Danio rerio: one gene and its partner. The protein of the gene in region 1 purifies or fractionates together with the protein of each later gene. This does not show direct contact. Links are inferred from orthologs where the notes say so. Each region holds a gene or a part of one and is shown in the gene's direction. Other genes may lie near its edges.

Evidence for each region.
Region 2: the proteins of bptf (region 1) and hmgxb4a fractionate together in Homo sapiens (co-fractionation; 3 studies listed by BioGRID, with this or other methods). This does not show direct contact. The link is inferred for Danio rerio from reciprocal best matches to the Homo sapiens genes BPTF and HMGXB4.

The regions. Positions count from the first base shown.
Region 1 is NC_133178.1:24,151,321-24,155,152, reverse strand, and holds part of bptf (nucleosome-remodeling factor subunit BPTF), read left to right. Parts: intron 1-1,485; coding exon 1,486-1,668; intron 1,669-2,098; coding exon 2,099-2,284; intron 2,285-2,771; coding exon 2,772-2,920; intron 2,921-3,132; coding exon 3,133-3,464; intron 3,465-3,554; coding exon 3,555-3,686; intron 3,687-3,832. UniProt on the Homo sapiens protein: Regulatory subunit of the ATP-dependent NURF-1 and NURF-5 ISWI chromatin remodeling complexes, which form ordered nucleosome arrays on chromatin and facilitate access to DNA during DNA-templated processes such as DNA replication, transcription, and repair.
Region 2 is NC_133178.1:24,791,328-24,794,483, forward strand, and holds part of hmgxb4a (HMG domain-containing protein 4a), read left to right. Parts: intron 1-84; coding exon of another isoform or gene 85-108; coding exon 109-318; intron 319-2,079; coding exon 2,080-2,255; intron 2,256-2,342; coding exon 2,343-2,424; intron 2,425-2,495; coding exon 2,496-2,560; intron 2,561-2,731; coding exon 2,732-2,834; intron 2,835-2,941; coding exon 2,942-3,117; intron 3,118-3,156. UniProt on the Homo sapiens protein: Negatively regulates Wnt/beta-catenin signaling during development.

The DNA.
Region 1 (3,832 bases):
CTCCCAACAATACTACTCTTATTAGTTTGAATTACGGTTGGCAACACGTGGCGTCTCTCTGAACATGTAACAGGTGAAAACAGTAGGGATGTAACAGTATCAGAATTTCACGGTACGGTAATACCTCGGTATGAATGTCACGGTACGGTATTTATTGAATCATTTACAGGAAAAACAAAACTTATGAAAATACTCCAAAAAAGCGCCAAAAGTGTCAATGACATACAAATTAGCCTATCTGTAAGCTTTGAAACAGGAACTTCAATTTTAATAACTAAAAATTATTAAACCATGTAAAAAAATAAAGTTTCAATTTATTATTGTTGAAAACTCATCACATTCAACATTTAATCACTCACTCACTCACTTAGATAGAGATGGGTTTTACGGAAAATTATCATATAACTATAATGTGGTAAAAACTGGGATCTCTGGGATCCCCTGCAACAGAAAAAAACCCTCTCATTTGGGACTGAGGTTTCTGGGACAGAGATATGACTTGGCCCAGGTTGACAGCAGTGGGTGACGTTGTGCATTGTCTTTCCCCCACTTTAGAGGACAAGCCATGAGTGAGATACAGGTCTCTTTGCGGTACAAGTCAATGTCTGCATCAATCTGAACAGTGTGCTGTTTTTCTGCAGTCCCCATCACTGTTATTAGTCGTATTCCCCAACTTGCAGGCACGTGCACACATAGGGCTCAACCTGTGCAGTGCACATGCCCTTTTTAGTCTTGGATAGAAAGTGCCCTTCCAAAATGATCAAAAGTGCCCCCGCGAGGCGACACACCCTCCGTCCCGCCCTTCAGTAGGCGCGCGACAACACCGATCTTGAGTATGCGCGCTCAAACCCCAACCCCGAGTTTTATCGAGTCATGCGACTACAGTAATATCGGAAAAAATTGCTTTTGCGGTATGACGGTATTTACAATACCGTTACATCCCTAAAAAACAGTCTTCGAAGCTAAATCATGCATATTTTTGAAGTTCACAATAGAGCACCCTGATTGGTTCGAACCAAGTCTTTCTAATGAATTTATGATGTGCTGAAAACTCAAGGACGTCACTTTGTACCGGCTGGTACAGACAGCCAATCTCTACGCTGGAACTACACGATGATCTCATTGCTTGACGTTGAACCGGAAGATTGGATTTGCTCTAAACAATTCAAAAACAATCAGTATTCACTTTTTAGAGAAATAAATGTGTCCTAATAGTGTTTTTAGCAACGTGACACATTTAGATGACTGTCAACATGTCAGAAAATGTGTTTTGCTTTTTCCTGATCCTTTAAGAACGATTGAGCATCTATGTAAAGATAATATTTGGATGGTGTTTTCATAATTTTGCAATATTTTGGAATACTTGTAGTGTGGTTATCTTGGCTCTTCTCAAACGCTGCTACAGTCCTCATCATTTGCATTTGAAAGTATCACCAAATAATCTTGAAAACTAAACACAGTTTCTTGTGTCCGTTCAAATTTTAGCTTCAGTCTCTGCTGTTCCAGTTGGTGAGGTGCTCAGTTCCAGTGTTCCTGAGATTGCGGCATCATCCAGCTCCACCGTACAGACAAAACCGGACTCGCAGAGTCCGATAGGAAATGCTGTGACATCGTCTTCCAGCGGTGAGGAGAAAGGGGAAGGGACTGATGGGGTGGAAGAGTTGACAGGTACAGCGAGTGCTTTCCAAAATTTCACATTCTTTTTACATTAAGACAGGCCTCCTTTGTGAACTGCTGTTCATACCCACACTAACAGTAGATCTTCCGTTTTATTGTGCTGCATCAAAGGCCCTGCTGGCACAAGAGACCATGTACTGTTCCCAGTAACCCTTGTTCAGTATTCCTGCTTACAGAACAGCACTGGATGTCTGCCATTTTCTTTGGTAGAACATACTAACAGAGAATGTTTTAAGATTTACCATGTTTTATAACAGTATTTGGGTACTCACTGCAGCATTAATGTTTTGTGACAACTGAAATGGGATGCTACTGTACTTCATTTTTTTTTTTTTCAATTCAAATGTCCTATATGTATTATGTGTTCTGTTGTTAATATGGGCATGATGTCACACATCACTATTGTAATGTGTCTCCTCAGGTAAGAGCTCAGAGGGTGCCTGTCATGGGGAAGGGGATTCTGTACTGGAGGCTGAGCTAGCTCAGACAGCAGATGAGAACAGCTGCAGCAGTCATTTCTCCATCTCTGAATGCCTACGGGGTCCAGATGAGCCTGATCTGGTGGATCGATCCTCTCAATCCTCTCTCAACAGCCAAGATGACACAGGTGTCTACACACACAGAAATAAAGATCTTTTTTTTTAGTTTTACAATGTTTGTGTGTACTCGACAATTCAAATGTTTTATTTACCCTTATTCTACAAAGAAATCCTTTCCTTTCTCTTTCTTTGACGGTAGAATTAATAATAGGCTTTATGTGCTGTATAGAATATCTCACCCGCTTGACTGGTTTAGCTTGTTGCAGAAGTAAAAAAAATAAAAATATCAGTGCAACAATTATACTTTAATAAATCATAAACATGATCATCGAGATTTTATTTAAAGTGGCAGTAGAATTGTTTTTGGAAAGAGATACAAATAAACCCACAGGATGTTGAATTAGAAATATTAATTTGCTGTCATTTTTTATCTACTGTATCAAAGCTATAGAAGCTGAGTTAATGTATGAATTGGTTTCAATAGAAAAAAAATTCCTGACCAATGTAAAATGTACATATGTACATAACATGTTGAAATTAATGTTTTTATTTTAGGTGATGGCAAAGCTAATGGAGACAGCACAAAGACAGCATCTTCACGCATGATTACACGACTCCGGAATCCTGATAGCAAGCTAAGCCAACGCAAGGTCATGCAGGACAAAGATGGCAGCTCTCAGGATGGTAGCAGAGCACTTAAAGAGGTGAGACCACTGTCTTTTTTTAAATAATGTTCTGTTTGTTTAGTTATATTTGCTCATTCATGAACTTGTATTGCTATTGTGCAAATTAACCAAATGATACCAGAGGTCTTTAGCCAAAAAAAGTTAATGTTGAGTTTCTTTAAAAAAATATGAAATTACTGCTAAAAGTATATATCTACATGTTTTTGTAAATCATTTGTATGTTCTTTTAGACTCCTCCGCTGTCGTCCTTTGGCACCTTTAAGAGAGATTCAAGCAAGAGCAGTGGCTTTTTCAAATTGGGCCAGGAGGGCAAGTTTCGTGTCTACCACAACCAGTACAGCACTAACACACTTGCACTGAATAAGCATCAGCATCGAGAAGACCACGACAAACGCAGACATCTCTCCCACAAGCTCTGCATGACCCCAGCTGGTGAATTCAAGTGGAACGGATCACTGTATGGCTCAAAAGCTCTGACTGTATCCACTCTGAGATTAACCATCATCCAGCTGGAAAACAATATTCCTGCTCCATTCTTGCATCCCAACTGGGCATCACACAGGTCTTGATGAGTACCCATGGATGTTTTTTTATTCTGAATGTAGCAATTTGACTAAGTAATAATTCTGTGATCTTTTTTTTATTGTTGTAGGTCAAACTGGATAAAAGCTGTCCAAATGTGCAGCAAGGCAAGAGAGTTTGCTTTAGCTTTGGCCATTCTGGAGTGTGCAATCAAACCGGTGGTAATGCTACCTGTATGGAAGGATTCTTTAGGGCACACAAGGTGAGTTTACATTAGTGAAAATACTACAAGCACAACTCAAAGTTTGATGCAATTTTGATGGGAAATAGTAATTTTATTCTTCAAATGTATTAGATATACAGTAAGAAAATATTGGAGATTAAGCAAACAATCAAAATGGAGTGTAG
Region 2 (3,156 bases), about 640 kb from region 1:
ATTTAATGAAAGAAATATTTTTGAGCAAAGTAAGGTCTGTGGTAAACATATCCTAAATATTTTGTTCTCCAACATGAACGGCAGGTCATTATGGCGGGTCTTACGCAGGCATGGGAGGAGAGAGCTCATCTTCAGGAGGAGAACTAGAGGCTGGAGAGTTAGTGATTGACGACTCCTACACACGTCTCTCCAAAAAGAAGAAAAAGAGCAAGAAAAGCAAAAAGAAAAAAGATAAAGAGCGAGACCGAGATCGAGAGAAAGGATCCCGCGAGAAGAAACACAGCAAAGGAGGAAGTGGAGGGAAGAAAAGCAGTCAAGGTGAGACACATTTAAGTTTACTTAAGGTGAGGGATTCTACAAAAAAAAAATGCTGGTCATGGTATTTTCTGAACTATGGAGTGATAAAAAAATAAATACTCATAAATCAAAACACGAGTTTTAAACCTGATTTCTTTCATTGTTCAGATTTTTGTATTTAAATATATGCAAATGAGTGCATATTCAATTAAATAATTCCTTATTTGCACAATTAATACACAAAATGTCTGAAATTCTTGATGCAATTTACCTAGAGAACTACAGGGGTTGGACGATGAAACTGAAATGTCTGGTTTTAGACAACAATGATTCATTAGGATGGTGTAGGACCTCCTTTTGCAGCCAATACAGCATTAATTCATCTTAGGAATGAGAGATACAAGTCCACAGTGGCTGGAGGGTTTCTGAACCATTATTGCAGAATACTGGCCCAGTCACTATGTGATATGGTGAAGGAAAATGTTTTTGACTCGCTCCTCCAAAACACTTCAAAGTGGCTTAATAATATTTGAATATGGTGACTGTGCAGGCCATGAGAGATGTTCAACTTCACTTTCATGTTTATCAAACCACTCTGTCACCTGTCTTGCTATGTATATTGTTGCATTATCATCCTGACACACAGCACTGCCTTCAGTATACTATGTTTGACCCATTGGGTACTCATGGTCCTCCATAATGTATTGTTAGTCCTTGGCAGTGACACACCCAACAAGCAGAACCCAGATGTTGAAAAATCAGTGAAGGTGTACTCATCAGAGGACAATACATGTTTCACATTGTCGATAGCCCAAGATTTTCTCAACGTTTGGCATTACCACGAGTTACCAAAGGTTTGCCTATAGCAGCCTGGCCACCCTGTGGAGCTCCCTGAATACAGCGTTGGTGAAAACAGGAGAGTTAAGATGCACATTTAATTCTGCAGTGAGTTGGGCAGCTGCAGTTTTATGTTTTTTTAATACAATCTGTTACCACTCAGTCGTCCATTTCAGACAGTTCCACAGTTACTCCTTTTGGATGTAGTTCATCCTTCTTGGTGGTATGCTGACATTAGCCTGGATACCGTGGCTCTTGATACATTATAAACACTTGCTGTCTTGGTGACAGATGTGCCAGCGAGACATGCACTAACAATTTGTCCTCTTTTTGACCTCTGATATGTCACGCATAATGTTATGTGCATTGCAATATTTTAAGTAAAACTGTGCTATTAAGCTGCGGTCACACTAGAGTTTGTGTGTGCAAAATTCTGTCGTATGGCGCTGCGAAAAGGGGCGGCTTAAAACAAGATACTTAGACATTAAAAAAGTGAGCGATTGCTCCATGTCTTAAATTTCTGTCCAGAGGGCATGTTCTGATCCTTGATTGGTCTCACGCAGTCAAGTGATGCGATTTTTGACACATGACCCTGCGCTTCCGGTCTGATGCATTCGTGTGCATATGAATGGAAGTTTATGGGGAGAAAAGTCAAGTGTGACCGCAGCTTTACTCTGCTAATTAAACCATCACACTCTGCTCTTACTTGTGGAATGTGCAATCAATGAAGATTGGCCACCAGGCTGGTCAAATTTAGCCATGAAACCTTCAACACTAAATTGGCTAGTTTTGTTTTTTAATACTTTTTGAATACTTTTTGAGTGCCTTGGACTTTCATTAGTTTTATTGTTTATTTTTATGAATCCCTTATCCAACGTGCACTGACACATTACCTGTCCCTGAAGCACTTTTTGTTTGATTTAAATTTCTCTCCGCGCAAACCAGGGGATCAGCCTAGAAGCCACTCCCACACTCACAGCTCATCCAATCACAGCTCTTCCGGTGGCATGTACCCTATGGCTCCGCCCACCTCATCGCATCAACATCAAAGCATTGAACTAATAGGCGAGAAGAAAAAGAAAAAGGAGGAAAAAGAGCGAGACAAACATGACAAGGACAAGGTCAACTAAATCACTTTATTACAGCTTTGGAAGCGACTTGAGGTTTGAATTTCACCATTAATTATATTCTCTCCTTCATCCTATCAGCCGAAGAAGAAGAACATGACGGCCTATCAGGTGTTCTGTAAAGAGTACAGGGTCAATATCAACGCAGAGCAGCCTGGATTAGGTGAGAGAGAACCCATGTGCACTGCTGTCAATCATCTTGTGCTGTTTGGTGACTGGTTGAATCTTGTTCAGTTTTCGGGGAGCTGAGTAAGAAACTCGCAGAGGTGTGGAAACAGCTGCCGGAAAAAGATAAACTGGTCAGCGCTTTTTATCTCTACCTTTTAAATACCTACCTTTTTATAAGTGGGTTAGACATTTTACATTGTTGACTTTTTGTGCTTGAAAGTGATGGTAGAGGTTTGTAATTTCAGTTGAATGTGCGACATTGCTGAACATCCTGTTTTTCTGTGCCGTTTCTGACACTGAAGGTATGGAGACAGAAAGCTCAATATCTCCAGCACAAGCAGAATAAAGCTGAAGCTATGACCGTCAAGCGGAAAACCTTAACAACCTCAGACAGTAAAAGTAAAGGTGAGACCAAAGCATATCAGTTCATGTTTTCAGTCTCGCACACTTCATATTCTGACTCACGCATCAACACATTTCCTTTAATATCCCTGTGTATCTGTTTGTTTCAGGCTCCAGTAAAGCGTTTAGTTTAGGGTCAGGTTTGGCCCCTCAGGGCCGCTCGTCTCTGGGCATGTCTTTGTCTCCAGCTCGAGTCCCTGATGTGGATCCGATAGATGCAGCAGCTCACCTGCAGCTGCTGGGAGAGTCGCTGTCTCTGATTGGACACCGACTTCAGGAGACAGAGGTTTGTGATGCTGAAATAAAATCCCTTTTTATAATGCAG